Tamandua tetradactyla: one gene and its partners. The protein of the gene in region 2 purifies or fractionates together with the protein of the main gene of each other region. This does not show direct contact. Links are inferred from orthologs where the notes say so. Each region holds a gene or a part of one and is shown on either strand. Other genes may lie near its edges.

Evidence for each region.
Region 1: the proteins of PLK1 (region 2) and CCDC6 purify together in Homo sapiens (affinity purification with mass spectrometry; 3 studies listed by BioGRID and IntAct, with this or other methods). This does not show direct contact. The link is inferred for Tamandua tetradactyla from reciprocal best matches to the Homo sapiens genes PLK1 and CCDC6.
Region 3: the proteins of PLK1 (region 2) and NOS1AP purify together in Homo sapiens (affinity purification with mass spectrometry; 3 studies listed by BioGRID and IntAct, counting the BioPlex papers as one, with this or other methods). This does not show direct contact. The link is inferred for Tamandua tetradactyla from reciprocal best matches to the Homo sapiens genes PLK1 and NOS1AP.
Region 4: the proteins of PLK1 (region 2) and DBR1 purify together in Homo sapiens (affinity purification with mass spectrometry; 3 studies listed by BioGRID and IntAct, with this or other methods). This does not show direct contact. The link is inferred for Tamandua tetradactyla from reciprocal best matches to the Homo sapiens genes PLK1 and DBR1.

Annotation. Positions count from the first base shown.
Region 1 is NC_135339.1:37,348,433-37,356,262, reverse strand, and holds the start of CCDC6 (coiled-coil domain-containing protein 6), read right to left. Parts: upstream 3,195-7,830; 5' UTR 2,571-3,194; coding exon 2,256-2,570; intron 1-2,255.
Region 2 is NC_135349.1:33,375,543-33,383,258, forward strand, and holds the start of PLK1 (serine/threonine-protein kinase PLK1), read right to left. Parts: upstream 3,111-7,716; 5' UTR 3,001-3,110; coding exon 2,593-3,000; intron 1,906-2,592; coding exon 1,737-1,905; intron 1,023-1,736; coding exon 878-1,022; intron 1-877. UniProt on the Homo sapiens protein: Serine/threonine-protein kinase that performs several important functions throughout M phase of the cell cycle, including the regulation of centrosome maturation and spindle assembly, the removal of cohesins from chromosome arms, the inactivation of anaphase-promoting complex/cyclosome (APC/C) inhibitors, and the regulation of mitotic exit and cytokinesis.
Region 3 is NC_135330.1:15,203,208-15,211,046, reverse strand, and holds the start of NOS1AP (carboxyl-terminal PDZ ligand of neuronal nitric oxide synthase protein), read right to left. Parts: upstream 3,107-7,839; 5' UTR 3,021-3,106; coding exon 2,916-3,020; intron 1-2,915. UniProt on the Homo sapiens protein: Adapter protein involved in neuronal nitric-oxide (NO) synthesis regulation via its association with nNOS/NOS1. The complex formed with NOS1 and synapsins is necessary for specific NO and synapsin functions at a presynaptic level.
Region 4 is NC_135341.1:82,103,465-82,111,658, reverse strand, and holds the start of DBR1 (lariat debranching enzyme), read left to right. Parts: upstream 1-4,771; 5' UTR 4,772-4,929; coding exon 4,930-5,126; intron 5,127-5,712; coding exon 5,713-5,837; intron 5,838-7,647; coding exon 7,648-7,728; intron 7,729-8,194. UniProt on the Homo sapiens protein: Cleaves the 2'-5' phosphodiester linkage at the branch point of excised lariat intron RNA and converts them into linear molecules that can be subsequently degraded, thereby facilitating ribonucleotide turnover.

The DNA of each region.
Region 1 (7,830 bases), on a different chromosome or scaffold from region 2:
CTGATGGTTGAAAACCAATCCCATCACACTCTGGATCCTAAGTCAATCAACAAAATCCTTAAATGCCTGCAGGAACTCTTTTCTCTGCAGCTGTCATACAGCTCCTTAGTAACCAACACCTGCCCAGTACTAGGAGACCCAGCTGAACCACAAGTTTGTCTCCCTGAATATATTAATTAGAGATAAGAAAAGAACTAAGAAGCTTCTAGTAGTGGTACTTGTTAGGCTGTCATCCAAAACATTTTTTTAATGTAAAGCCACAGAATACTTCACAAAGTGTATTAGGTTAAATGTCAACTTTAGCTGAGGTTTAGTGCTAAAAAAATAAATAAATAAAGCCATCACCTTACACACTTCTCAATCCACGTATTCAGAAGGCCTCTGGTCTTTTATACCAGGAGTGAACGTGTTTTGACTGTGCAGAGCCAACATGTTTGTGTACAATTTACAGACCTACTTATAGTATGGTCAAAGTGTCAAACAGATAACCCTTTCATAATCTCTCCATCTCCACCCCCCACCAGCCATTCCTCCATCCCAGACAAACAAAAACAGCCTGAATTGCTGGCTGTAGGCAAGAGGCTAGAGATTCTGTTTCAGGAAAGTTTCACTACTTTTTGGTGGTTCAAATTCTCCAAGAGAGCAACCCTCTCATTTACTCACTCAAACCTTAAATAAACTGGCAACATCAACGTTTCCCTCTTTTCAAGATCCCAGCAGGCTGAGATATTTCTCTCAGTCAAGAAAGCCTACAAAAGAGGCTTGGAGGCTGCCTCTGCAAATTCCTCCCCCTTGCTACCTTAAGGGCCCTTCAGAAACTTAATAGTCTTGATATGGGTGAATGTTGCTCTAATTCCGTTCACCAGGACTGGGTTCGAACATACAAAGTGCCTTTCTACAATCAATTCCTAATTAGGCTGCTGCCAGCAAATTCCGATGGAAAACCTGCTTTCGAAACGAATTAAGAATGCCATCCAATTCCCATGCACAAGCTCATTTTGGGGCAACACACATACTCCTCCACTCAAGACCCTTTCCTGGCACAGGGTCATCCTAAACTTGCCCTATTTCACTTCCAGGCCGTGACCTTTGATCCATACTAAAAGTTCTCCCCTTTCTCATCTGAAGAATCCACCTAATCAGCTATTGTCCAGCAGCTAAGGCAATTTATTCCTTTGATTCCTTGACATTTTCTTCTCTGCTCCTGGATGGGTGGCTGTTTTGATCTGAATAGAGTTGTCTGTATGAGGATTCTGCATGTTAATGATGTGGCAAGCTGGCAGGGATGTTAAGAGCACACAGTGTACTTTTTCCAGTTATGTTTCCCCTCATCACAGCCCACTACAGACAGAACTACAGACCTAACCTTACCCTTCTGGGAAGCCTCCAGGGACCAGGTGAAAACAGATGGCCTGTTCTTCAGTCGAGTACCTGGACTCGGAGGTAATATACCTTTACACACTCCACCACCAAATGAGGAAGCATACGGACAGCTTGCTCAGCAAGACAGTCGCAGCCGCAACCCCTCACTCTGGTTTCGGCCTCAGCTGTCTAGGTCAGTGTTGGATGCTGTACTCTCCCGTATATATATCCCGCCCCGAAAGGAATGGTTTTCCAACAGAGGAGGGTGCACCAGCGCCGGTGCCCGCCTTTCTCTCTCGATCCTGACCAGAGAACTCCACTTCCCGGATTCCCGGTCAATCTCCCGCCCCACCCCACCCCCCACCCCCGGGCGATCCCGCCAGAGCCGTCCAGATACCAGCTGAGTGCCCAGCCCAGCTGCGCACCTCAAACCAGGCCCTTGGAACAGGGCCATGCTTCTTCCCTCTTTCCCAGCCTAGGGTTCCCCTAGATTCCGGACGCACCCCACAGGCAAGCTAAGACTGAAGCAGTCCCACCCCGCCCCCCAGCCACGCCGCCAGCTTGCAGCCCTGCCCCGGAGCGGCCTCCTCCCCAAAGGCGAAAAGAAACCGTCGGGGATTGCCCCAACTGTTTTTCCCCGAACCCCGCGAGGGACCCGGACCACAAGGAAGGGCAGACCCCCATGGCCACCTAAAGGACACATGCCCTCTCCCCCCGCAACAGACACCACCCCCCTCCTCTCCGGGCGCGGGCAGGTCTCAGCGAGGAGTTGTTCGCTGCAGATCCCCAGGAGCCTGGGGAGTGGGGGTTATAGGGTTGCCCGGGTTGGGATGCAGCCGCTCGCGGAGGCGGGCGGAGGTCGGCGCTGCGGCGCGCCCCGGGGGAGCACTCACGATGGTCACGCTGGCTTTGCGCAGGTCTCGGTTCTCCTCCTGCAGCGCCTTGCACTTGAGTTTGTAGGTCTCCAGCTCGATCTTCAGCACCTTGTTCTCTTGCTGCAGCGAGGCCAAGCGGTTGGTGAGCTCCTCCAGGCGGAACGGTGAGATGACAATACCCCCGGACTTCCCACCTCCGCCGCCGCCTCCCCCGCCGCCACCGCCGCCGCCGCCGCCGCCCGAGGTCGACGAGCAAGACGACTGCATGGCGGCCGAGCTGCTGCTGTTGCCCCCCGCCCCGTCCGTGTCGCTTTCGCTGGCGCTGTCCGCCATGGCCGCGGCGGGCTGGGGAAAGGAGGAGGAGGAGGAGCAGGGAGGCGGCGGCGGCGAAGGCTGGGCTGCGAATGAGTGGGCGCCGGGCAAGCACAGGGGAGCGCCGAGCTGAGCGCCTGGCACCAGGGCGCAGACTCGGAGCGGCGACGAGAGAAAGAGAGAGAGCTTCCCGCTGCCAAGGGACCTCCTCTGCCAGAGAACAGAGACCCCGCCCGGGCTCGGGCAGTATTGCACTGGGGCTCGCTCCAGCCCGGCCTGGCGCGCTCGCTAGGCCGCTCTACAAGGCTTGCGGAAAGCTGCGGGAACCCGCCCGCAGTCCCGTCCCGTCTCCTGGCGTCCGCAGGCGAGCTGCTGACGTGGGGGCACTGCGGGTGCGGAAAAGCCAGGCCAGCGTCCGAACCACCAGCTCCAAGTCCGCACGTGGTCTGGGGGAGGGCCTCCGAGACCCCTGACCTAAACCACGGCAGCCCAGCCTCTTCCGGGCTCGCGCCTACTCCGGCGAAAGAGAAACCCAATGCCCAACCAGCCTCGCAGGTGCTGAGGACACGTGGAAAGGTCAGCCTGGCTCCTGCACCCAGCCCCGGTCGTGTCGTGGCCCCATCTTCCGCCGATTTGTGTGTGCGGGTAACTCCCTCTGTCTGTCACACATCAACGCGGCCCTTGCAGTTTTATCTTCCCAGTACTGGCTGAGAAGCTTTGGATGGAGCAAAGAGAACAGAACGTTCCCCTCCAAGGAGCAGAGTAGGGTGAAATAGACACAGGCTAACCTCGTTAAAAAAGAATTTGCCGAAGAGGCACATCGCCCTCTCTATTCCTCCTAATCTCATAAACCTACACAGCGCTCAATTATTTAAGCAAGCTAGAATTATTTTTTTTTCTTTGTGCATCTTGCAAACAGTATCAACACATGTCAACCAAAAGGATTAAGACACTAACAGTTATTTAATTCAAAGTCAGAAAGGGAAGAGAAACACTTCTGGTGTAAATATTGAAACACATGTAAGTGCCAAATTTCCAAAGTAAATGAAAGCATAGCATTCTGCTGTACAAATTTGTGATGGTCAAGTGGAAAGAAAATATGATCATTACCCTTATTTAGAAAACTTTAATAGCTTTTAAAAAAAAACTTTAATTACTTTAATATGGTCTAATACAGGATTCTAGCTTTGAAGCATAAGAAATTCCTAATCAAATTTTATTTCCCCTCCCCCTCCCAAAAACCAGTTGCGGGAAATTGGCCCAGCAGGTGATTTGATTCTAAATACCACACTGTTGGCACAAAAAAAAACAGCTTTCACTTATGTATAAAAATTGGAAAGTGAAACTGGCTGGACTAGTTTTAGTTTCCAAGCTTGGTCAAAGAAAGAACAAACACAGGAAACACAAAAGAGAAAAAATAATACTACCAATAAAACAATTGTTTAAAATGCCTACTGCTTCGCCTGCCACTCCAGAGACCCTGGTTCGATTCCCCAAGCCTGCCCATGCAAAAAAAAAAAAAAAATGCCTACTGCTTTCAGCTTTTTGAAAGGTTTATAAAAATGTTAGGAAGGAAAAGAAATGGCTTTAATGATTTTTATCCCCTACCTTATCGTTGCACCTAAATTTGATGTAATGATTAAACCATTATTCAGTGGCTAATGGAAACTGGTACCTCAGAATAAACTCTAAATTGCAAATGTTCCAAATGACATCATCTTTTACTGAGGTGGCTATTCCTAGCAGACAGCTCAGAAATGCCAACTGCAATTAAATCCCAAATTTCTCCTGTTTTTTAGTTTACTGCTGGAGGACTTCTGAACTTAGACCCTGTTGGTGTGACCAAAATATGGCTGTGTGCTTCAGAAACAAAGCGAATCTAAATAATTCTGTTATAAGTGAACTGGTTTAATTTTCATTGAAACTTACATGTCTTCCTAGCTTTTTCTTTTGGGTAAATGATATAAGCAGCTTGTTAAATTGGAAACGGCTCTAGAAAACTCACTGGCCGTGTGAAATGGAAGAGTAAAGCTAGCAGGGAGCAGCACCGCAGGGGAAAGCTCCGATTAAACAACATTCTTTCCCCTTTATTCAGCACCGTGAAAGAATCTTAAGAGTGGGTCTAGCTTCCATAGTTCACATGTTTCTATTGTTCCCTATCCCATAGTAGCTAAAGCTTCCACTTTTAGAGCTTACAGCAACAGGAACATTCCTTCCCCGCAGAGCAGGGGGCAAATTGGCGCCCTCTCAGCTTTATCACTAACTAACTGCCTCAAAAAGGCAGCTTGACTGCTTCAAGTCAGCAGAGGGGGTGGAGTTTGAAGCGCCTGGCTTTCTTAAAGGGCCCACGTCATGGTAAGCTTAAGAATGCTTTGGTCTTGAATAGGATTTGGAGGAAATCTGCATTTTGACATGGTATGTGTAGGCAGTAATCATGTTTAGAAGACTTTAGGGAGAAAGCCATCTTCTAAGGCTTCCCTGCTGCTACAGATGGGAATAAACCGGAGAATTTCTTTTTCACTGTGGTTTTAATGTTATTGCAAAGCAGAAGTGTGTCTAATTTTCTATTTCTTGTAAAAGTGATTCCCCTTATAAACAGACCATTTATCACAACACTGGCTCAGTAATAGCATTACAATGGAATCACCAGTTACAAAACCAATAATATCATTATAAAACTCCCTTGCAGCTTTCTAGGGGAAATGAATCAGAAGAATAGATGTTAGTGTGTGGTGCCTGGAGGAAGGAGGGGCAAATTTAGATAATCACCTCCATTGAAGAAACAATGAAATTTAGCTTTGTACTAAATCCGAGCTGCAAAAACTAGAAAAACAAAGGAAAACAATACCTTGTAATCTAATTTTAAGGCATAACAGCAAAATATTTATTTGTTTAGTGCCATCTTTGCAGTTGATTCACCCTATAGCCTTGGAACTTTGGTGTTTTTTCCAACAATAAAATTACAATGATTTTCATAGCTATAAATAAATTGCTGTACATATCTACTTACATAAATGTGCAATCTGAGTGATTCTCTTCAAACTCTGAATGGATTGGTGGTTGTCAGAGCCATTGTTAGGGTTTTGAAAAGAATTAAAGGAGCTAAGTGTGAGCTGGTTATCACAAAACTAGTTATCACAGAATTTTGATGGAAAAATAGAAGAATATATCATTGTGGGGTTATCACTTCCTAAAAGATAGCTCATAGTGTTTATTTAAATGCGTGTTTGATTTAGAGGCTGCATCTAGTACCTAGACCTAATACAGGGTTTCTCCACCTCCATACTACTGACACTTGGGGTCAGATCATTCTTTGTTGCGGGAGCCGTGCTGGGCATCCTAGGATGTTTAGCAGCTTCCCTAGGCTCTCTACACATTAGATGTCAGTAACGTGCCGCCAATCATGACAACCAAAAATGTCTCCAGACATTGCCAAATATGCCCCTGGTTGAGAATCACATGTCTAGTAGGGCAATTACTTTTGAAGGGCAAAAGCAGGTCCGCTTTAGAGTGGCTTTTCTGGCAACACATTGATTACATACCACAGAGTCATCAAGAGAGTGTCTCTCTCATTTCGTCTCCTTGGTGACAACTAGCCAGAAGATCCTGGACCCAAACAACCATATCCACACCTCTGACAATTACTGTCTTCAGCCACCCCTATTTCTTTAACTTGTTTTTTCCATATTTTACATCCATTAATGCCAAACTAACTTTGCTCACCAGCATCTCCCCCGGCAAGAGATCATGACTTCAAGATCAATTATATAGCTTAACACCTCTGTTGTTCTCCTGTTTTCTATCACTCATTATTGGTTCACAGAAATCCAAACTATTTCTACAAACCACAGTCATCACCTAAGGTAAGTCAGGTGAGAATCAAATAAGAATTTCAGCAAAAAAAATAACCATATGAGTAACTGGAGATTTGGCAGCCTACAAAAACTAAAATATCCCAACACAGAACATCTAGAAATAGTGACCAGGAAACACTTTCTAAATCCTATTAAATGTACAGCAGAGGGCAAAATAAAATAGAAGGAAATCCCAGGGTCCAAAAGCAAAGAGGAAAACTGGAAACAACCTAAATATCAACCTATAGTGGGCTAGATCATAAATTCTGTTATATTCACGTAATGAAGTATTATGAGTCAATGGGAATGAATGAATTAGAATTGCATGAAGCAACATGAATGACCCTTACAAACACAATGATGAGTGAAAAAAAGCCAGACACAAAAAAGTATATACTGAATGATTTCATTTATATAAAATTTGAAACTAGGCTAAATTAATAGAAGTCAGGATAAAGATTCTCTTTGGAAGTGGTAGTAACTGGAAAGTGTGCTAGATTTCTAGTAATGTTCTCTTTTTTTTTGAGCTTTGTGCTTGTTACACAGGTGTGTTCACTTGTGAAAAGGTATTGCACTATTTATTTATGATTTGTGTACGTTTCTGTATGTAAATTATACTTCATTAAAATTTGTGTGTCAGAAAAGGAGGAAGAGGGAGGACTAAAAAACCAAAGTACTAAACCTGGCAGCTGAGACTAGGCACAGCAGCTTGTTAACCATGGAATTTATCCAGCAGGTACAGGACTTGTCTTAGGGCCATACAAAGCAAGAAGTTGTTACTAAGACACCCATGAAATGCCAGAGCCTTCAAAGAACTACACCAGCAAAGAAAGACTGGAGGGAGTGGGGAAGAAGAGGGATCTTCCTACCAGCAAACAGGAAGGTTGCCTTTGCCTGGATTCAGATTTAGAAAAAATAATCTCTTTGGAAAAATTGTAATTTAGATCTAAGCCACATGCAGTTAGGGGGTTCACACATTTCTACTTTATCCTACCTACGTGGTCCAGAAATCCCCAGATAAGATATTATCCTAAAAGTTGGGCTAACATGGGAACTGTTTGGGTGATGGAAATGTTCATATCTTAACTGTGGTGGTAGTTGCATAAATGTGTACATTTATCAAATCTCATCAAACTGATAGTTAAAAGATGTGAATGGTACTGTATGTAAAATACATCATTAAAAAAAAACTGATAAAAAAGAAATAGTTGGAGCTGGGATGGTGATATTCCTGTTGTACCTGGCCTACATAAACACAATTCAGCCTAAAGGTACAATCTCAAATTGAAGATGGGATTACAGTTGAAAATTATAAGATGCAGAGAGAAACAGTACGTTTTGAACAAAAATCAGCAATGGACCACAATAGTTTTTCCTAGAACTTCAGTTGACAAATATTGGATAAAGTTGGATTGGATAAAATGAAG
Region 2 (7,716 bases):
ATCTGTGAAGATAGATCTTACGTCTACTCAGCACCCTCAGAAGCCAGGACAGTGGCTGGGATGAGTCCTCAGGATAATACAGATGACAAAAGCACAATTCTTATGGGCCAGTGATTTCTCAACTAGAGCCCACAGTAATCTAAGGTTCTGCAGAAGAGGTAAAGAGGCTACCTGCCGTACAGACAGATTAAAGTGGATGGTCTCCCTGTTTCTATGGAAACAACTTCACGTTTATAGTTCTATGCAGAAGAGAAGACTTAAGATTTTGAAAAATAGCTCCATTGCCAGAAAGTATGAAAGTCATTGCTACTACTCATTTCTAATTCTCCAGTACCCAGACCAGCAACGACAAACAGAGATAATACTTGAAAAGGCCCGGGTCTCTGCCTACCATGGAGTCCCCACTCCACTCTGATGGTCTTAACCTGAGAACACACCTCTTCCTGCCAGCAATAACTCCCAGTCTAATTCCTCTTGCTCAGTGCTGCTTCATAGATCAGTGTTTCTAAAACTTTAATGTGTGTGAGAATCACCCAGGGATCTTGCTAAAATCCAGATTCTGATCCAGCGGGTCTAGGGCCTGAGAGCTTGCATTTCTAGCAAATTCCCAGGTGGCACTGATGCTGCTGGTCTGCACGTGACACTCTGAGCAGCCAGGGTCTATAGCAAGGTGGTGGACATCTTTGGACAGCTACCCCACCCTCTCTCTCTGGACCCACGGCCCAGCTTGTGGGATACTCCAGAGTAACAAGGAAAGATAAGGAAATTAACTTTGTTTTTAGACTAGACTATAATCCACAGGATAAGGTTAGCCAAGTGAGATTCCAAAAGGGGCCCTGATGAGGCTGAGTGGGTCCTAAGACAGCTCCCTACTTACATGATGCACCCAATAGACCACACATCCACTTCAAAACTGTGCCCCTTCTTGCTCAGCACCTCAGGAGCTATGTAATTAGGAGTCCCACACAGGGTCTTCTTCCGTTCCCCGTCATATTCAACTTTGGTTGCCAGACCAAAGTCCCCTGGGACAGAGGGAGAAAGGGGGGAACTTGGATGCCTGTCTCTGCCATCAGTCAATGCAGACAGCTTGTTTGTGTCTATCAAGACCCAGGGTCATTTGATCCCACAGGCCTCTACTCCCTGCAACAACCAATGAGGTTTGCCCAGAAATCCTCCCACCTCACAGGGAGGTGCCTCCCAGTGCCCCATGCCCCACCCTTCCTCTTAAAAATGAGGGCTATGCGTCTAAAAGGATGCTTGGTAGGGACAAAAAATTCAAAAGCCTTTAGGGTTCAAGCCAGTAACCTCAAAGACTTAGACTAGGCAACAAGCTTGGGGACTAGGGAAGGGTGGGGACTGGCAAGCTACAGGGAGTCTAAAGCTGACAGTTGCTCTCAGCTCAGCAAAGGGCTGCCCTGAAGGAATGCTGCCCGTGTTGCTGGAGCTTCCAATTGTTTAAAAGGAGCTCCAAGGACATATTTTTATGTCAAGTTTCCCAGTTTAAAAATCAGAAACTAATTCCAAAAAAAATTTTTTAAAGACTTATAGGGGTACAAAAATGCTTCGGCAGGTAAGAAACTGGCTTGTGGGCTCTTTAAAATTTCTGGACTAAAGAGAGGATCCAAAGTCAATTATCAGCCCAGACTTCCCACTGTCCTCTTCCTCCTTCCCCCACCTCCTCCTCAATCTCCCTTCTTCCAGGGGTGTTCAGCACCCGTGGAGGCCCAGCACCTCACCTATTTTCACCTCCAGATCCTCATTTAGGAAGAGGTTGCCCAGCTTGAGGTCCCGGTGAATAACCCTGTTCCGGTGCAGGTACTGGCAGCCAAGGATGATCTGCCGCAGGTAGTAGCGGGCCTCGGGTTCAGTCAGTGCCTTCCTCCTTTTGTGCAACTCCAGCAGGGACTGGGCCAGGAAAGGAGGGGAAGAATGGGGAGGAGGCCTTGAGGTCCAGGTGCTAGGAGGGGTCGCTAAGGAAAGGCAGCCCAGGACTGGATCTGGACCCCGGGTGCATGCAGAGAAATGTGAGGAGGGGTCTTGGCAGGCTCTCCCCTTTCCGCAATCCTACCTCCATTCCTTCTCCAAGACAACTGCAAGCCCAGTCTCCTGGTAGCTCTATTCTCTGAAGCCTCTTACCCGAGACCCTTCTCCCAGCCCTACTCCGGAAGCTCAGAGTCCCCAGTAGCCCTCCGCGGGCCTTTTGCAGCTCCAAATCCTCTTTCAGACCCATCTCTTCCTGAGAAGCTCCGAAGTCGGGCCTCAGCCCCACTCTGGAAGCTCCGGGTCCACCCCAGTCCTTACCTAGGACTCCTCCCTTAGCATCTATTACCAACTCTCCCATCCCCACTTCCGATCCCTAACCCGCGCCCCTTCTCCCCACCCTGGGCAACACCTCGTGTCCAGGGGCCGCTTTCCCTAGCAGCAAAACGACTCCGGCTCTACTTAATCGGACCCCCTCCCCCAACAGCCAATACTTCCTACCCGCGATCTTTTCCTTCCCTGGCTCAAAGTTCCCACAACATCTTCCCCAGAGGCTCCGAGCGCCCTTTCCCGGCCCCCAAGCAGTTCCAACTCCCCAGCAGTAACCCTCACCCTCCGGCGGCACAGCTCCAGCACCACGAATACGAAGTCGTTATCCTCAAAAAAACCGTGGAAGCCGACGACATGCTGGTGGGCCAGGCTGCGGTGAATGGATATCTCCATGGACATTTTCTCCTTCTGGTGCGGCTTGAGCAGCAGCGACTTAGGCACGATCTTGCCCGCGAACACCTCCTTGGTGTCCGCGTCGGAAATCTCAAAGCACTTGGCGAAGCCCCCTTTGCCCAGGAAGCGGCCCCGCAGATAGCGCTGCCGGCTGCGCGGGTCCACTAGGACCTCCGGGATCTCTTTCGCCGGCGGGGCAGCCGCTGTGGCCCCGGGTGCCGCAACTCCCGGGGCCCCGGCCTTTCCAGGTTCGCCAGGAACCCGCGCCAGCTTCCCTGCAGTCCCCGCCGCACTCATGCTCCTGGAGTAGCTCAGCAGACCTAGCAGGGTAGGGGCGGACGCTCTGCTGCGACCTGCTCCTCTCCGGAATTCAAACGCGGCGCTGGGAACGTTACAAAACCCTTCGCGCCACTGATTGGCCGCGGGGATTTAAAATCCAAACCCGCCCGCCGCGCGGCACCATGGGAGTGTTCTGTATCGTAGCCGCCTTTAAACCCCCTACCCAGCACCGAAAAAAAAGAAAAACTTAATTGACGGGACGCTTGGGCAACAGACACGTGGGATGCCTGGGAAACCACACCTAGGAGACGAGTTCTAGGTTTCTTCCTTTCGCGGACCGCTAGGGGAGTTCCTGCAATTCCCATGCACCTCCTCCAGGAAGCTTTTCCTAATACCCTCCTCCACCTACCCCACCTCCCACTCCGTCTACCAAAATGTAAGCTAAAATCTAAGTAAAAACCGGATGCTCGCTAGGCAAATTCACCTCCATAACAAGTCATTTTAGCCCCCCTTCCCCAACCCCTACAAATAAACAGTCCCTCTGAATGGAAGAATGCTACTCAGAAGTATGATCCAGGGACCCGCAGCAATCATCATCAGCTGGGAGCTTGTTAGAAAGGCAACCTTTCAGGTCCCATCCCAGACCTCTTGTGTCAGAATCCCTTTCAACGAGACTGCTCAGGTGATCGCCCCACATACTGAAGTTTGAGAAGTACCATTCCAGAGTGCCCACCATGCAAGAAAGTAGTCTGATTTGCTCACTGCTATGTTTTCCAGTGCCTAAAATAGTGGACATTCCACCTGTTGTTCAGAGAGGGAAGGCTGGCTGGATGAATGACTAACAAACTGGCAGTCCATAGCCGAATTTGACCTGCAGGAGTGTTCTGTTTGGCCGCCTCACTTAAAAGAAAAAAAAGTTGAATTTACAGAATTTAAAATGAGAGCTCACATAAAAATTCACGTATGGCTTTCCCTGAAAAAATGTGAAACTCTGGCAATACCGGGCCTACTCATCTTCCCAATCAACAAGTCTCCACCTCTCCCCTTTGCCTTTTGTAGCACTTGTGTGGAACACCCATGAAATGGCAAAATGCTGGTTAGAAGTACCTTCACTGTGTTCCCTTAGAGCCCTATGATGTCCCTGACAGAACCCAGCAAGAATCAACCACATTATGATCACCTGCCTTCCAATTAAACTGGGAGGCATGCTGTCTTTTCAACCTGTGTCTCAGGCTTCTAGTGCAATACCTGATTAAAAAGGGTTACTAAAATATTTGCTGAATAGGAAGGTTTTTAAAAAGTTGTTTTTTATCCCCATGATGTATAATCTTCTACTCTTTTTCTTTTACATTTTTATTGAGATGCAGTATACTTACAGAAAAAGCATACATCATAATTGCACAGCTCAGTGAGTTCCCACAAACTGAACACACCCTGTGTAAACACCACCAAGAAGCCCCTGTGTCAGGGATCCCCAAGATCACTCCTTGGTTCGATGATTCACTAGGATACTCCCAGGAATGGGCATATGGTTGTACTCACAGCTATGATGCATTATAGTGAAAGGATATGAAGCAAAGGGAAAGGCACATGGGGCAGATTCTGGAGGAAACCAAGAAAAACCTTCCAAAAAAGTCTTCTCCCAGTGGAGTCACACAGGATGTGCTTAATTCTTCCAGAGATGTAAAATGTCCACGAGAGAAGCTAAAAGAGGCTCCATACCCAGGGTTTTCTGGAGAGTTTGTCATATAGGCACCCTCTGGCTAGCACAGAGAAAAACTCTAGATGCCCAGAAGGAAAGCAAATGCTCAGCATAAACTACATTGATTGTACAGTTTAGGCAAAGTGAGCCACCCTTATCATTTACAGTATGGTGAGAGCCTTTCTGAAACTAAGTTCCCAGATGCCAGCCAAGGGCCAGTCTTGCAAACAGCCCTAAGGAGAACAGTCTTAGGCTTCCTGTCAACTCTATTCTGCATAGTCCATCCCCTTGGCCCTTGACCAAGACTTCTTTAAGGCAGGACCCCAACACAGCAGGGTGAGACTAATCTGCAGCACCAATCTCAGTTATGCCCTTTAGGATTCCTGGAATTAGCCAGTTAAAACAAATCCCATTAACCATAAAAGCCTAGCTTAGAAAGCAGGTTATTTCCTCTGTTTCTGTGTTAAGCTTTTTTTTAACCTGCTCTGAGATATAAATTTGTGCACAGCCCACTTAGGCCAATGAATTGAAGCTGACCTGAAAGAATACCAGGGCTAAGGCAGTGTCATGATAGTTAGGGTGCAAAAAGTACAAACCCAGAGAACACACATGGTAACCCTGGAAACACAGTTTACAAATGTTAGGTACCCAAGCAGGAGAGCTACGAGTTGGGCTGTTCAGCTTCACAGGGCCCCAGTGTGGCCTTCAATTATGGGGCTTCCATCCTGGGGTTTTCAATCAAGCAAAAAATTCAATTCAGCTCTTGGTTTCAGAGGCGCGCACTGAGGCAGTCAGTTACAAGCATTTTTTGCTTGTCCACGATATGTGTTCATTCATCTCATGAGTGTGAATGACACTTGAAGGTATCTTTATGAAAGTGCAGGAACAGGGTCACTCCCTTGTCTCCCATTGAGTGCTGCCAGGTGTGACCCTAGGCTCAGCAGTTGGAATTCGAAATGCTCACAACACTTAGGCAGCACTGAGAATTTTCCTTCAGAAAGAAGGGAAAGCTTCCAGGAACAGTACTGAAAAGCAAAGATCAAAAGTGCCCTCCCCACTCCCTCATGCCTCCCAGGATGCCAGGTTTTGGGTTTTTTTCCTCTTTTGTTACAAAACCAGTGGGTTCCAGTCAACAACTCTAACTTGATATTTTTTTCAATCATCCCTTTTTCTCACCCAGGCCTTTACTTGGGGAGAGGTGTGTGCAAGAAGCACGAAAGCATTTTGGCAGAAAAATATTTTTTCAAAACTTAACCAGAAAGACACATTCAGGAATTAGTCAGGACAAAATCCTTAATTTTCAAAACTTTTAAAATGGGGTTTCATAACCTCCCACCCCTTTTGTCTTGATTATTTACCCAGTGAGCAGCCTGCAAAAGAGCGCTCCCTTTCTGAGGACAGCTGCTTTTAATAATCAATCTACCTCACTAAGGTGTGTGTAAGGGGAGAAAGGGGAGGTAAGCAGAGGGACTAACAGTTCATTGTTGCAAACTGCAAGCAATCTGGAAAGCTGAACACATCAGCAGTGAGCTATCTCCAGAGAAGGTGGAGTCTGATCTGCCAAAAGCAAGTCGAGGGGACACAGTCCCTGTGATGAGATCTCCCCCAATTCGCAGCTTTGGGCAAGAATCCCAAATCAAGAATCCAAATAGCCCCTGCATTAAGATCCAGGGCTGACAAAGTGATTTGATCAGTGAGTGGAAAAGTATTTGCAAAGCCCCCTTCGGGGAATGATGAGAACAGGGAGTTATGCAACTTCCCCAAGTTGAATTCTTGATATTCTCACAAGCAGTGTGGACAACCAAAGCTATAGGCTGAGCCCCCAGTCTTGGGGTTTGTTCATATGAAACTTAACCCCACAAAGGATAGGTCAGGTTTACTTAAAATTTAGGCCTAAGAGTCACCCCCAACCCCTTTTGTTGCTCAGATGTGGCCTCTCTCTCCAGCCAACACAACAAGCAATCTCACCACCCTCCCCGTCTACGTGGGACATGACTCCCAGGGGTGTGGACCTTCCTGGCAACGTGGGACAGAAATCTTAGAATGAGCTGAGACTTAGCATTAAGGGATTGAGAAAAACCCTAGAATGAGCTGAGATTTAGCATCAAGGGATTGAGAAAACCTTCTCAACCAAAAGGGGGAAGAGTGAAATGAGACAAAGTGTCAATGGCTGAGTGGAGAGGTTGTCCTGGAGGTTATTCTTATGCATTGAGTAGATATCATCTTGTTATTCAAGATGTAATAGAGAGGCTGGAGGAAACTGCCTGAAAATGTGGAGCTGTGTTCCAGTAGCCATGTTTCTTGAAGATGATTGAATAATGATATAGCTCTCACAATGTGACTGTGTGACTGTGAAAATCTTGTGTCTGATGCTCCTTTTATCTACCTTGTGAAGAAACGAGTAGAACATATGGAATAAAAATAAATAATAGGGGGAACAAATGTTAAAATAAATTTAGTTTGAAATGCTAGTGATAGATGGGGGTGAGGGGTGAGGGGTATGGTATGTATAATTTTTTTTCTATTACTGTTTTATTTCTTTTTCTGTTGTCTTTTTATTTCTTTTTCTGGATTGATGCAAATGTTCTAAGAAATGATGAATATGCAACTATGTGATGATACTGAGAATTACTGAATATATATGCAGAACGGAATTATATGTTAATGTTTTTGTTTGTTCTTAATTTTTTAAATTAATAAATAAATTAAAAAAAAAAAAGATCCAGGGCTGATCTGCAGCTTGATTTTATGGTTCCAATAGAGAACAAGCCCCTTCCTGTGATGGTCCAGCCAGCATCCATGATGCTTTCATGGTTTAGAGTTTACGGAGAGATGGCCTAAATTTCCAGTGATTCAGTCTGCGTCCTGTTCAGGAGTCCAAAAAGGCCAGCGGTTTTTCTTCAGCAGTAACAAGGGTGAGATGTTGCAGGGCCAGACAGCTGTCTCCCAGGCCCAAGTGACAAGCAAGGCTTTCCTAAGTTCCTTCTACCTTGTCAGTCTTAAAGTCCAGAATATGTACATCAGACTAGAAA
Region 3 (7,839 bases), on a different chromosome or scaffold from region 2:
CAGTACCTCCCAGGAGCCAGGTGAAGGCAGGAAGCAGTTCACCCTCGTGAGCCACTCCCAGGCCAACGTGAAATCTGGCAACAGCCCAGCAGTACAGGCTTGAATAAGTAGCTACATCAGAGTCCTAGGAGCCAGCAACCTGAGGGTGCCCCACCGTGAGCTGTGAATCAAACCACTACCCAGCACGGTGGCAGTGCTCCACACACATTTATTAAATGAATAAGCACTGCATTTTAGGAGTCTGAAGTCAAAGTTCCTGGGACTTGAAACCTGGCATTGCCATAGACAGCTGTGTGCACTAAGGCAGGCAATAATCTCCATAAACCCATATCCTCATTTATAAAACAAACACAAGGAGACCCGCCTCGGAGATAGTAAATGAGGTACCACAGGTGAAATTCATCTAGGAGTCTGCTTGATGATTACGCACAGGTGTTTGTGTGTTTACATGTATAGAACCCAGAGGCCGTTCAGTCCTGATCCTAACCTTTCAATCTTAGCAGAAACCTGAAAATGTGTGGCATACATTCAACGGGTCACTCCATTCACCCAGTGTTGATTATGAAAAACTGCTAGTTCTCGGAAGAGAAAGATCTGGGCTCACTTTCCAAGGGCATTCGACAAGGAGGCGATTTAATATATTTGCATTTTACAGCCTGCGCTTTTCCAAAACAAGGGAAAGAGTGTGATATGGATTTAACCCTAAAGTCCCAGTGATTGCACAGCCCATTGGCGTACTCTGCTGGGATGTGGAAACCAGTCAGAGAAGGTGCTTGTCAGATGGTGTGCAGAGAACAGAAAAGCATTTGCTTCCACCTCTATTCATCCGCCACGCGGATGACACGGTGTTCGGATATACTGATGTCCAACACGGATTACCAAGAGCTAGAAGTTAAGACTCAGGTCCTCAAGGACAGACTTTCCCCAAGGAAGCCTTGCCACCTCCCTTCTGCCGTTTCTTCTCTACCTCATCATTCTCAGACCAGAATCCTTGGTCTTAGATCTGCACTGGGAACAGAGCTTGGAGCAAATGTGGTCCCTCTCCTCTTATCAAACACCACTGCCTGTGAATCCTGGGAAGTCACTGTAGGAATTATAGCGTGCAACTCCCAGGCATTCGCTTAGAGAAGAAACTGCACACCTGGTGCTAGGAAAGGAAGGGTAAGATTGAGCAAGGTGGAGGCCAGCCCCAAGCCCAGTATTTATCAAAGTCTGGTCCCAATCACCTCCACTGAATCACCTGGGATGCTTGTTAAAGGCACACACTACTCAGCTGCCCCCAGATCCCACCAAATTAGAATTGGGCGATAGAAGGAATGTGAATTTTCAATATCCTCTCCTAACACACTTCTGTACCCTCAGCTGGGACCTTGCAGAGAACTTGTGAATAAATAAGAAAGCTTAAAAACACTTTAAATTGGATCTCCCTTCTTATTCTCATTCTTGCAAAACAGAGCACTGGTGAACCAAACAAGGCAAGAGCCGATTTCCCAGTACATATATAAATATCTCCAAGAAAGCTAAATCATGACCCTGATGAAAACTCCTACCTTAAAATTTAAAAATAAGCTCACCAAATCAACAGGACTGGACAAAAATCAACCCAAACATCCCATCTTAGGCTGACCAGATCTATCCAGAGAAGCAAGATAACATCTCAGCTGCAGCCCCATTCTGATGCCAACTATATCCAGTAATTGAGCTCTGAATTCCATGGCCGTGTCTAATGTCTGGGGGGGAGGGGTCTTTACGCTCTAGTCAATACGGTTGGGGAGAGGTTATTCGGAGGGAAAAAAGTAAGATTCACCAATCCATGCACGTCTTTGAGAAGAAAAAAACTTTTACAATAACTGACACCTTCAGGTACATATCAGGCACTGGAAAAATGTTTCTTGAATTGAAGGAAATAGAGAGACACCTGATGGAATAATCTCTGCATGAGATACTAACACCCTGCATCTACATAGTGGTGAAAGAGAAAAAGGGAAGGGTAAAACTGACTGCACGCCAAAACTACAAAGTTTTAAAACCAGCAAGACCCAATATTTTAAAAGGAGCAGTTTTTAAAGATTATCAGTGGCAGGCACACAGGAGTTGCTGAGTTCCTGATGTTTATGTAATGGGGTTTCAAGAGGCATGAAGGAAGAGCAGAAACACTGCCAGGGAGGAGCCCTCTCCCACAGGAAGCCCACCTGGAATTCTGCCAGGAGGGACATCACATATTCACCTGATGGGCCAGTTCAGAGCCCCATACCCCTATCCCGCCCCAAAGATGAACCTGGGGCTTTGGCCTGAGCACTGAAAATTCCAGTTATCCTTCCTAAATTCTTCAACAGTAGTTCTCTGTTAGCAGCTGAAACTTAAACATCAAGCCACAAAACCAACAAATGGGCAGCACTTCCCCCACACTTGCAAAGGAGTCCTGATAAATCAAGCATTTAGGAAGTGACTGACATCTGGACCCTACCTAGACTCTAGAGAAGCACCCCTGAACTTGGAAGAGGAAAAAAGGCTTTTCCTCAATCAGGAAGCGGGCTCCATTCCTGAAAGCACCTCTCCCACGGGAGCCCAGCAGGTAAATAACAGCAGAGTTTCCCTATCCTCAAGGACCAGAGTACAGGTTGTGCTCACCCGCCCGAAGGATCGGGAAGTAATTCAATCCAATCCTTTGGCGGGTAAGAAAGGGGGAGTCTGCAGGTAGGAGGAAGAGGGCGAAGCACTACCGCTCAAACTTTAGTTGCTCCTTAGCAGTTCTAGGCAGGAGTCCGTGGAATTATGCTGAGGAGGGGTGTCACCCACCCTAACAGAAAAGCCCCCTAACCAGCTCAGTCCTCTAGCTGTCTCCAGGATGGCTGTGCATCAGATCCACTCAGACAAGCCCCTCGCGGGCAATACCCTGCCCGTGCCCCCCTCACCTTGGCCTCAAAGCAGATGCCGTGCTGGAAGGCGTCCTCGTTGTGCAGGGGGATCCGCAGGTCGTGTCCATCGTCCACAAGGTTGTACTTGGTTTTGCTGGGCATGGTGACCCGAGGTGGACCCGCTCCTCCAGAGGCAGCGGCGGCTGCAGGAAGAGGCTGGGGAGACCCCGGGGAAGGGAAGCGGGAGCCGGGCGCGCAGCGCGCGCAACGGGCTCGGGCTAGGACGCGGGGCGAGGGGCGTCCCGGCGGCGAGGTGGCCGCTGAAGCTGGGACCCCGGGCGGCGCCGAGGGCCAAGCGCGGGCGGGAGGCGCGGATGCGGGCGACGCGAGCCGCACTGTGGCCGCGCAATTCCGGCCGGCGAGGAGAGAGGCGGCGGAGGCGGCGACCGGAGCGGGCGGCGCGGCGCCCCGGCCGGGGGAGGGGAGCGGCGGACGCGAGGCCGCAGCCCGAGGCGGGACGAGGCGCGGAGCCGACCCCGGAGCGATGGTGCGGGCAGCCCGATCCGGGAAGAAAAGGTGGCGGCGGCGGCGGCCGAGCTGGGCGCCTGTCACGGAGACGCCGGATCAGCCGCCAGCGAGCAACTCCTCCTGCGGGGCGGGCCCGGGCCGGCTCCTCCCGCGGGTGCAGAGGCCCCGCCCGCTGCCGGGTCCGCCCCCCGCGCCGCCGGCGCCGCCCGCCGAGCAGGTGAAAGTCCTGGGAGCGCAGGGCTGGGCCCGACCCGGGGAACTCCGCCCCGGCCCCAGAAAGCTGGGAGCTTACGACCGCAAGCTCGGTGCAGCGTCTGAGCCGGAGCTGCTGATAGAAGCAACAGCATCGCCTTTGATTTTTGTTTGGTTTTGTTTTGTTTTGGGGGGAGAAGGTGTTTACGTTCTGTTTTACCGAGATGGCCCAAGCCCCGCCCCAAATGTCCCAAATCTGAACTTCATTAATTCTGAGAGTCCCCTCCCTTGGTTAATCAAGATTGAATACAAGTAGAGGAATAGGGCAGGCACTTTTTGTTCCTTTCAGTGATAGTGTGTAGTGGCGGAGGGGGGAGGTAATGCTTTTTGTGATGGTGATAATACTTTAAAGCCGTCAGTCTTATGAAAATGGGATAAGCAGAAAGGAGAACTAACGACAATAATACATCCTCCTCTACAATTTATCATAGGTTAAATAATTTGTACTGAGGAGCTGCATCACTTAGCTTTTTATAAATACAGGATATGAAAGTCTAATCAGACATGTTTGACTCTTTGAATGTCACAGTGGTTTTAATATGCATCATAAATGCACTCTCTAAAACCTGGCACAGTTACACTCAACAATTTAAAGGCAGTACCTTAAGTAACTACTTCATTTGTATCTCATATTCTATCTAGAATGTAAAATGTTCTCTGATTCCAAAGGGACTTTTCTATATTAACTTGGGTCCCACTGGACTGCTGATATTTACCAGAATTTCGTGTCTAACTCTATAACACATTGTTTGTAGACCAAACATAAGAAGAAAAAAAAAAAGCTGGCATCCCAAATGCATTTCATAGAAAGGAAAGTAGTTAGTATTTGAACCCAAATCAATTCTATGTGGAGAGGTGTTTCCACCATGCCTGGATCTCCATGGAAGACTTCTAATTACAAATGAGATGCACCTCAAATTCAGGGTCCATGTTTTATGTTGCTAAATTATATTCATCCCATTTCAATTAGATGAAATGTTCCTAAAAAGAGAGGCTTGTTCTCTATTTTGGCCTCTACCTATTATCATACCCATGCCACACGGTATTAAGATACCTTTCTTCCAGCAACAATAGGCATCCAAAGGAATTTCCATTTTTTAGCTGAGGTTTCGATCTTATTTTTGTACCTTTAAATGTAATACACTTCACCCACAATATTTCCAAATCTATAAAAACAAATGCTTTTTATCTTAAAATGATTGACAGTGCATGTATCACTTCCCATACCTTTCCATATTTTAAACGTTTAAACGTTTTAAACGTTTCATAATAAAATTTTCATCTGAAATAGATTTAATAAAAATACAAATTGCTAAATCATGAGATACCTCCTATGTTAATTTTATTGAAACTCGATTTTAATATAAATTATATATTTTTTAAAAACACTAAACCACAGAACTTCAGAGCTGGAAGTTATATCAGAGATATCTAATCTCACCCCCTCATTTAAAGACAAAGAGATTTAAGTAACTTGCTATCACTATGGCCATGAGTCAATCAGAAGTTTGGGTTATGACTTAGAACAGATGTGAAAATTTGCAGTAAATGTGGCACCAATAATCCAGGAAGGATCTCTCCCATACTCCCGACGCAGTAATCTTTCCATTACACAATGATGGGATATAAATGGATTAACAGCAAATTTTTTTGAGCACATATTTGAAATTGAGAAAATTAATTTGCTTTTGGTGAGAAATATCAGCTTTGCCATGCTAACCACTGCATGTGCATAGTCCCACTTAATCTCTCCCACAACCATGAGTCGGATACCATTTTACAAGTGAGGAAACTGAGGCTCAGAGAGGGAAATAATTTGTGTAGGTCATAAAGCAGTAAGACCTAGGAAACCTTCCTTGAGTATAGCCAACAGAGAAGAGGATGTCAACTTTTTGAGATACATAGACAGGGGAAAAAAACCACAAATCTTCATACAAATAATAATATATTAAACATTAATCACAGATAATGACTTCCTACCATCAGATAACACTTAGCTCCAAAATGCTCAAATTCTTTTTCCATTTTTCTGTGTATCCCTAAGGTGTAAAGAGTTGGGATTCATTACCCCTTTTTATAGGTGGCAATAAAAATATTAAGTGATTTCTCTGAGAAAAAGAAAAGAATTAAAACTCAGGTCTTCCAACTTCTAATTTGGGTATTTTAATTTTCTTTCAGCTTGAATTTTATATTGAGAGCTTTAAAGTTCCCAACAACTAAATGTCTCCATAATGTTAAGGAGGCATTTATTAGAAAATGAGTCAATCAGAAGTTTTGAGTTATGACTTAGAATAGATGTGAAAATTCACAGTAAATGTGGCACCAATAAACCAGGAAAGATCTCTCTCAGTAAAATGAAAAGATTTGAGTCTTCCAGTCCTGTCATTCTCAATGGCTCTCTGTAGATAAGTAACTGTAATGTAAAATTATTTCTTATTTTTCTGCCTATTTTTTAAAATTCTTTATTGTGGTAACATATATTCAATATAACATTTCCCATTTTAACCACTTCTCACTATAGAATTTGAAGGTGATTTGTTGACAATCTTATGCTGCCATCACCAGCCATTACCAAAATTTTCCATCAATTCTGTATCCATTAAGCATTAACTCTCCTTTTCCCAGCCCCACCCCAGCCAGCCAGTCTTTCTGTCTCTATGAATTTGCATATTCTAGTTATTTCATGTAAATGAGATCATACAGTATTTGTCCTTTTGTTTCTGGCTTATTTCGTTCAACATATCAGGGTTCATCCATGTTGTAGTATGTATCAGAACGTCATTCATTTTTTATGGCTTATTGACCAGAGGCTGTTGAATGAATAAATGTTTCACACCTCAAATATTAAGCAGTGCCAAGAAATACAGCTTGCCTCTGGTTTTATTGATGACATAAAAAGAATGCTAAAGATTGGAGAATTTTCTTTAAAAATGATGCTAGTGTAAGAGAAAAGATTATACTACAATTGGATAGACTTTGTGTCTGGAGATGGGCTAATTATTGTAATGAGAATTGAGTTAAAGTCTGAAGACTCCAACATTGTGACCTTGGGCGTCTCTCTCAACTTCATTGTTTATGTTTCCTCATTGGTAAAGAAATAGGAAATGCATCTTAATTTCTTCATGGAGTTGTTTGAGCATATCATGAGATGGAAAGCCCTATAAACAGTAAGGTTTCATAATAGTAGAAGAAATTATTAACATGATTTCCAAAATGGAAACTGGTATTAACTGTGAGAATATCAACAGTTTTATAGCAATCTCTACCACTACTTGTCTGGTTTGGTTTATTGTGATCTTTTACTGCATAAGAAATAAAACAACAATTTGGAATGTTTGTCCCATAGGAAAGGTTATTCTGAAGGTATCACATATTGTAATGCCAGCCTTCATATTTTTTATTAGATCCATCTAATCTCTCCTGCATGGTATAACCATTTTCTGCTTTTCTCATTCAGATTATTCTTGATAATCTTAAAGTTTATAGTTGTATTTCTTGGCACTGCTTAGTATTTGAGGTGTGAAACATTTCTTCATTCAACAGCCTTTGGTCAATAAGCTTTCTGGCCAAAGGCAGTAGAAAACATTAAGTAAGTGTCCCTGCTATGATCATTTCTCAGGGTAGCAGGGGACGTAAGAGAGGTATACATCCTTGGCGAGGCATATACTTAAAAACTGCAGTGGTTATGAGATGACAGAGTGTGATCCAAACGTAGGGGTGAGAGGCAGGGAGGGAAGGAAAGGCCCAAAATCCCTGGGGCTGATTGGTCAGGAAAGTCTTCAAGGGGGTGAGGTTTGAGGTGGCCTTTTAAAAAGGAAAGGATTTGAATAAATAACACAGCAGGAGGAGGCCAGGCAGAAAAACAGGGTCTATAGAGACATTCATCTATAAAGTGTCTTCAGGGGACAGTGAAGAGATGAGCTCACCGGATGGAGAGTTCCTACTGGGGAGCAAGTGATAAGATTAGTCCTGAGATGGCAAAAGGAGAACTTCAACACCAGGCTGAGATGTTTGTAACGTCGCAGGAAATTTATAAACTGGGATGTGACCCAGGGTGTAAAATTAGAAAGTGCAGCTCCCCCCACCAAAAACAAACAAACAAACTTATATTCCCCGACCCTTCTATTTAAGCAACAATTGAAAAATGTTTGGGGTAAAAGCTGATCATTGGATTTTCCATCTTTTAAAAGCTGATCATTGG
Region 4 (8,194 bases), on a different chromosome or scaffold from region 2:
ATTTTAGTGTTTCCTGAAAACGAGGACATTGTCTAAAATAACCGCAGTAAAATTATAAAAATCAGGAAATTAACACTGATACAATATTAATTAATTTACAGATATTATTAAGATTTTATCAATTTTTCCAATGCTGTCTTTTACAGCACTGCATTGCATTCACTTGTCATGTATCTTTCCTCTCCTCTAATTTTTAATCTTTCTCAGTTTGTCTTCCTTACATTTCCTGTTATATATTTTTTAAATGCAGGCCAGGTATGTTGTAAAATGTTCCTCAATTTCAATTTGTCTGCTGTTTTTCAAAATTAGGTTCAGTTTAGGCATTTTGAGCAGGAATACCACAGAAGTCCTGGTGAGATTAATGTTAATCACTCTAGTAAGATGGTGTTTGGCAGGTTTCTTTAGTGGAAGTTCTTATTTTTCTCTTTGTCATTATTAAGTATATTTTGGGGAGATACTTTGAGACTTTCTAAATAGTCTCAAATAATAGATACACCCAGACTGTGTATCTTTACTAGAATCCTATGCATCCTATTACTCCGCAAAGTTTTACCCACTCGTTTTAGCACTCAATGAAGTCTTGCCTGAGACAATTAGGATGACGATGATTATGAAGTTCATAAATATATAAATATATAAAAAGGAGCTTTTCCTTTTCCCTATTATTTATTTATATCAGTATGGAATCATAGATTCTTACTTTGTTTAGACGGCAATAGTCTGTTTTACTATCATTATGTATTTTGCTACTAAAAGTTTCCCAGATTTGGCAAGTTTAAGTACTTTCAAACTGACTCCATGTTCCCATATTCTTTGAGCACCTCCTTGCTTTCTGGCACAAGATGATCCAGCCTCATTTTTTACTTTTCTGCCCAGAATTAGCCATTTCGACAAGCAGCCCTATTTCATTTTGGCAGAATATAGCATTTCAAAACTTTGAATTAAAAATTGAGTTACCCTTGATACCTGATATGTCATTAGTCCTTGTTGAAGAAGTGGGAATCTCTGAGCTAAGGACAAAATCTTAACCAAAGAATGGTCATTATCAATAAGTTTTAAGTCTAGAAAGACCCAAGATTGCCTATTTGGAATTTTATCTTTCAGTCTAATGAGAATGGCTTCATTAAATTTACAGTAAAAACATCATCAATCTGGACATTATTTAGAATCTGGCATACCAAAAATGGAACTGCATTGTTATTTGCCTCAATAATCCCTCCTATTTTTTAATTACTTCTGTCATGGAGCAAGTGTCAACATCTATCACATTTACAAATACATTTCCTCCTTGGTTCAACAGTTTTCTTCTGTGAATCTGACAGTTACACCGCGCTATGGGGGCTGCTTAGAGCTACCACCCGTCTAGTTTCGCCTGGACGTGGTGTGGCTGCTGGGCCAGCCAAAGGGGCCTCATTAATCTGCTTCAGCCTTTTTCTTGGCTCTCTTGGTGGTGGGACCCAACCAGGGCCAGCACTGCCGGCAGCTGGCCCACTGGCCAACCTACCGAAACTGAGCTCTCCTCAGAGGTCCTAGTTACTTTCTATCTCTACAGTTTTGCAATTTCTAAACATCTAAGTGAGCTCATATGTGTCCTTATGATGCACAAAAGTTTTTAATTCTGATGAAGTCCAATTTGTTGTTTCTTTCATTATTCGTGCTTTTGGTGTCATATCTAAAAATTCATGGTTGAGGTGCAACTTTCTTTGTTTTTTTACATGTGGCTATCCTGTTTTCCCAAAAGTATCTGTTGAAGAGACTCTTCTTTCCCACTGAGTGGATTTGGCACCTTTGTCAAAAGTCAATTGGCCACAGATGTGTAGGTCTATTTCTGGACTTTTAATTCTATTTTATTGGTCTATTTGTCTATCCTAATGCCAATATCACACTGTTTTGACTACTATTGTTTGTAGTAAATGGTAAAATCACAAAGTGTAGGTCCTCCAACTTCATTCTTTTTTTTTCAAGAATGTTTTGGCTATTCAGGCCCCTTTGCAAACATGAATTTGAGGATCAGTTTTTCTACTTCTGCAAACAGTGCTGCTGGAATTTTGATAGAGATTTGCTGAATGTGTATATGACTTTAGATTGTGCAGTAGTTAGGTTCAGGTGTCACTTTGCCCAGCTGATTGTGCCCTGTTGTTCTATGGCTCAGGACTTAAATCACCAGCGTGTGGAATTCATGCATGGCCGATTCCATCTGCTAAAGGGTGTGTCTTCCTCAATGACTGACATCCAGTTTAATTAGCTGGAGGCTTAATAAGGGAGGTCAGAAGAAAGCTCAGCAGCTCAGACCAGACCTTTGGAGATGCAGAAAAAATTGCCTTGGGGAAAGCTGTTTGAACAGAAAAGCTGGGAGACAAGGCCAACAGACATCGCTGTGTGCCTTCCCATGTGAAACTCAGATGAAAGCTAGCTGCTTTTCTGCCAAAGAACTGTAAATTTGTAACTAAATAAATCCCTTTATAGATGCCAGTCCATCTCTGGTATATTGCAGTCCAGCAGCATTAGCAAACTAAAACAGGTAGTATTGTCATCATAACAATATTAAGTCTTCTAAACCATGAACATAAGATGTCTTGTTATTTATTAAGGTCTTCTTTAATTTATTTCAGCAGTGTTTCATAGTTCTCCATGCATATTTTTCAAAACCTTAGTTAAATTTATTCCTTTAGATGTTATTTTAAATAGAATTGTTTTCTTGATTTCCTCTTCAAATTGTTTACTGCTATCTTACTGAAACAGAACTGAGTTTTGCATGTTGATCTTGTGCTGAATTCATTTATTAGCTTTCATAGTTCTCTTGTAATTCCTTTAGATTATCTATATATAAGATCATGTCCCCTGTACATAGAGATGGTTTTACTTCTTTTTCAATCTGGATGGCTTATATATCTTTTTGTTGTCTAATTTCTCTGGCTATAACTTTCAGTACAATATTGAGTAGCAGTAGTGAAAGCGGATATCTTTGTTTTGTTCCCTATCTCAGAAGGAAAGCCTTTAATCTTTCACCATTGAGAATGATGTTTAAAAATGGCTAAAATTTAACAGACAGACAATATCACTTTCTGGTGAGGATATGGAAAAATTGGAATTTATCTATCTTGCTCAGGCAAGTATAAATTGTCACAACTAATTTGGAAACTGAAATATCTATTAAAGCTAAACATTTACCTATTCTAATATCCAGATAGTCCATTCATGAGCATAATCCAAGTGACATGATTATTTATGTCCACCAAAATATTTTATAAAAGTATGCATAGCCTTTTTATTCATAATAGCTCCACATTAGAAACAACCTAAATGTCCTTCAACAGGAAAATAAATAAACTGTGGTATATCCACACAGAAACACTACACAACAACAGAGTACAACTAACTAACATTACTTGCAATGCATGGATAAATCTCACAGGCATTAAGTTAAATGATAGAAGCCAGACACAAAAGACTATGTCCTGATATGTTTGTAGTTTAGAAACAGGCAAAGCTGATCTATGGTAATAGAGATCAGACTAGTGATTTTCTTTGGCAGTAAAGAGTTTGGGAAGAGACTTTGGAATGCCAGAAATATTTTATATCTTGATAAGGATGGTGGGTCTTTGGTTGATTACATACATAAAAATTCATCAAATGGCACTTAAGAATTAAGATGTTCATGTTAATTCAAGGAAGTTAGAACTCAATCAAGATTTTTTCTACATGAAGGGAAAAATGATGCATAAGAAAACAATTCCAAAAAATTAAATGTGAAATGGAAAAAGTTAAATTGAGCCATGCTGTAATAAGCACATTGTGTGTAAACACATTGTCCACCTTCGCTTGGAGGGCACTCCTACAACATGAGAGCTCTTCTGCAGATTTTGGAAGTGAGACAATATTTAATAGGTCCACTTATTCTTCAATGATATTTTTCCTCCTGGAAAGTTTTGGATTCATCTGCTTTCATTGAGCTTATAGTCTAGTTAAGCAAAGAACTCCTTTGCAGAAAAATGAAAGGTCCCTGATCCCCTTTGTAAAGTAAGGGACAATTTTAAAAAATTGGTGATGGTGGGTGGGGGTAGGAGTGGAGCATGGTTTTAAAATCCGCAGTGTGTTTTGTTTTTAAATTATTTTCATTTTTGGGAATCTTTAAGCAGTCTTTTAATTTCTAATTCCTTGGGAATTAGCCAATTGTGCCAGTTCACTTTTTTCTTTTTAATGTAATTTTATTGAGATATATTCACACACCATCCAATCCACCCAAAGTATACACTCGGGGGCTCACAGCATCATCACATAGTTGTATATTCATTACCACTATCAATTTTAGAACATTCTCATTACTCCAAAATAAAAAGTAAAAATAAAAAACCCAAACATCCCATACCCCTTGCCCCTCCATCCCCCATTATTAACCCCAGCTTTGTTACTGTCGAAAGAATATTAAAATATTACTGTTAACTATAGCCTATAGCCTTCAATAGCACACATTTGTTATAGTTCATTAAAAAACGGTTTTATATTTGTACTGTCAATCACGGTCATCATCCACAAGGTTCTCTCTGTTATAGAACCCAATCGTGTCTGCTCACTTTTTTAGCTCTTTTAATCTTATCAAACTAAGTTCTATTTCTGAGGATTTTATTTATATTATTCTGGTTTTGAATTTTACCATGCATCAGTCTGTTAGGAGTCAATGACCCACTGTAATCCGCAAAGGCTAAAAACGCGATTTGAAGGTTTCCACGGTTCTTAGGGCTTTAACCAAGCCCCGCCCAACCCCTCTCTCGCGAGACTTCGAACCGGAAGTGACATATCGCAAGCGTCTGGGAGTGGTGGCGGCCCTGTTAATGTTGGCGGGAGTTGCCCGAGTGTCCAAGTCTCCTCGCTGTCCCGCCTGGGCTGGCTGTGGTCTGGGGGTTGCCGAATATCCCTGTTTCGGGCAGGATGCGGGTGGCTGTGGCCGGCTGCTGCCACGGCGAGCTGGACAAGATCTACGAGACGCTGGCGTTGGCGGAGCGGCGCGGCCCGGGGCCAGTGGAGCTGCTGCTGTGCTGCGGCGACTTCCAGGCGGTGCGCAACGAGGCCGACCTGCGCTGCATGGCCGTGCCGCCCAAGTACCGCCACATGCAGACCTTTTACAGGTGAGGGGCGCGGCCCGGCCGCCGGTACGGCTCCGGGACTAGCCAGCCGGGAGGGAAGGGCCTGGGTTGGGTTCGAATCCCCTTCTGCCACCTAGCAGCTCCGTCTTCTGAGTTCTTGGATCTGTTGGCGCCGTCTCCCCAGGGTTGGGCGCGCAGAAAACGTCACTTTCCTTTTTTCCATTCACTTTCCTTATCTGTTTCATAAAGGATCGCAGACGAGGGGAATAAAGTAGCACCCGGCGGAAGAAGCTGTCCGCTTTAAATATCTACCTAGTGCTTGATAGGACTCTGGGATTAGTTTATTTAGTACTCCGGGAGTTTTTTAATTGAATGCATGCTATGTTGCACGTTCCGGTTCTAGAAGCTGAGGTTATTGCAGTGTACGGGACCAAATTCTTGACGTCAATTGAATTTACACTGGCTTGAAACTCACGTGGCAGCTCTTCATTCTTAAAGACATGAATGGGTACTGTGCAGTTCGTCTAAAAAGGGCTTTTTTGATTAACTCAGCTTTTTCATGTTGACTTTATTTTGCCTGTCTGCTACGCCTTATGAGGTAACGGACAACTTTACCCTTATGTTCCAGGTATTATTCTGGAGAGAAAAAGGCCCCAGTTCTCACGATCTTCATTGGGGGAAACCATGAAGCTTCAAATCATTTGCAAGAGCTACCTTATGGTGGCTGGGTAGCACCAAACATTTATTATTTAGGTATGTGTTCTTGGCAAAGTTTTTGATTTGATGATATGGAAGAGTCTGTCAAGATTTGTATTGTCAGTTAGGAAGCATCTTGAAATGTGTGATGTGTTGGAGAATGTCACTTAATTACATAATCATGACAGTCTAATTAAATAGTAATTTAAATAGTTAATCATGAAAATATATTCATGTTTTGTTCAGTGATTACTTTTTTTTTTTTTTTTGCATGGGCAGGTACTGGGAATCTAACCTGGTGTCTCCAGCCTGGCAGCCGAACTCTGCCTGCTGAGCCACCATGGCCTGCCCTATGATTACTTTTTTAGCAATGATTAATTTAACTTTTAAGATTTTGCACACTATTTGAAATTCCTTTATTTTTTTGTTACTTTTTATTACATTAAAAAATAAATTTTTTATAATGGAAATTGTTAAACCTACACAAAAGTAATAAAAACCTACTTTTTATTACATTAAAAAATAAATTTTTTATAATGGAAATTGTTAACCTACATAATGACCCTCTGTACCCTGTCTAGTTTCAGCCACTATTGTTCTGCCATCCTTGTTTTTAGTGTCCCAGCCCCACCCCTCCAAGCTGTTCGTGTTTGTGTGTGTGAGTAAGGGATGATTGGAGCACTTTAAAGCAAATCCCAGCTGTTACATTATTTGATTATTTCACCATTTTATTTCATCATATTATTTACATATGTCAATATAAATTTCTAATTGACAAGGCTTTTTAAAAATACCACAACTACAATGCCATTATTATACCCAACCAAACTAAACAATTCCTTATTAACTGTTGCCTAGTTTATATTCAGATTTCTCTGCTTTCTTAAAGATGTCTATTTTATAATTGATTTGTTTAATTAGAGTCCAGTTAAGGTCCACCTACATTTCATGTGTTTGTTCCCCATTCCCTTTTTTCTTTGCTGTTCATTTATTGAAGAAAATAGGAAAATAGTGCTGTAGAATTTCTTGCATTCTGAATCTAACTATTAGATTCCTTAGGTTGCTGTTTGTTTGTTTTGTTTTGGGGTTTTTGTTTGTTTGTTTGTTTGTTTGTTTTTGGCGTGGGCAGGTTCTAGGAATTGAACCTGGGTCTCCAGATGGCAGAAGAGAATTCTGCCACTGAGCTACCATTGCCCACCTGGGTTGCTGTTTTAAGTTTTCCTTTCATCCACTGCATTTCCTGTAACCTGGCATTTAGGTTTAGAGGCCTCATTAGATTCAGTTTCAATTTTAGAAACTACAGTCCTTTCTTCTCTTTATTTAAATGCCTTATTTGAGAACAGTTATGGGTTTTTTCAATGAGAAATCATAACTTCAGAAAGTCATTTTCTCTTCTTACTGATTGATCATCTTTTGACACTTGCAATATTGTCAAAAGATGAAATTGTCAGAAGCTAATCAATTGGAAGTGAATTATAGATACTACAGGTTCTTTATACCTTATGCCTGTTGACTTTTAGATGTATAATGTCTAAGTCCATCATAGGACATTTTCTCCTATTCCTTCACTCACATATTCAATTAGGTTCCGGATTGTATCAATTTTCCTCTTAATATCCTTTCTCACTTGTCCCTTTCTTTCTGGTTAGTCTTTTGGTAGATCTGCCTCTAGGTCTCCCTTTCTACCTTCTTTGTGTACCTCATAAGCGGTTGACTTATTACTATGTGAAAGAGTAAGGTCATCATGATACATATTTTCAAATAATTTTAAGACTGCATGAAGTTCAAGCCTTTAATTATGTCATTCATTTAGTAAATAGATTGCTTTTGCTTACAGCAATTTTTATTTAACGCTATAATTTTTCAGGTTTGGCTGGTGTGGTAAAATACCGTGGTTTAAGGATCGGTGGACTCTCTGGTATCTTTAAATCTCATGACTATCGAAAAGGTAATGTTTTTCAACTTTAGAATTTGCGTGCCCCTGAGTAGCATAAGCATAATGAATAATTTGACTATTTATTTTCATTGAGTTTCTTTGAACTGGCTATTCTTAGCTTTTCATTATAATGTATTTTATACATATAAAAATATAGATAACACCAAAACATACCTGTGTATCTGACATCCAGTTTTATCAGATATTTTGCCATATTTACTTCTGAATTTTAAGAAATAAAAAAGTACAGATAAAATCGAAGCTCATTGTTTACTTGTCCTCAATCCCATTACTCTCCTTTTCATCTCTCCACCTCCCTGTCAGATAGCAGGCAGTTACTATTCGGAATTTTGGTGTTTATCATTTTCTTGATATTTTGATGTCATTACCAAATATAAGAGCTTGAAACAATGTATTATATGGCATGTTTTCAAACTTCATATAAATGTATCATTACATGTATCTTGCCACTTGCTTC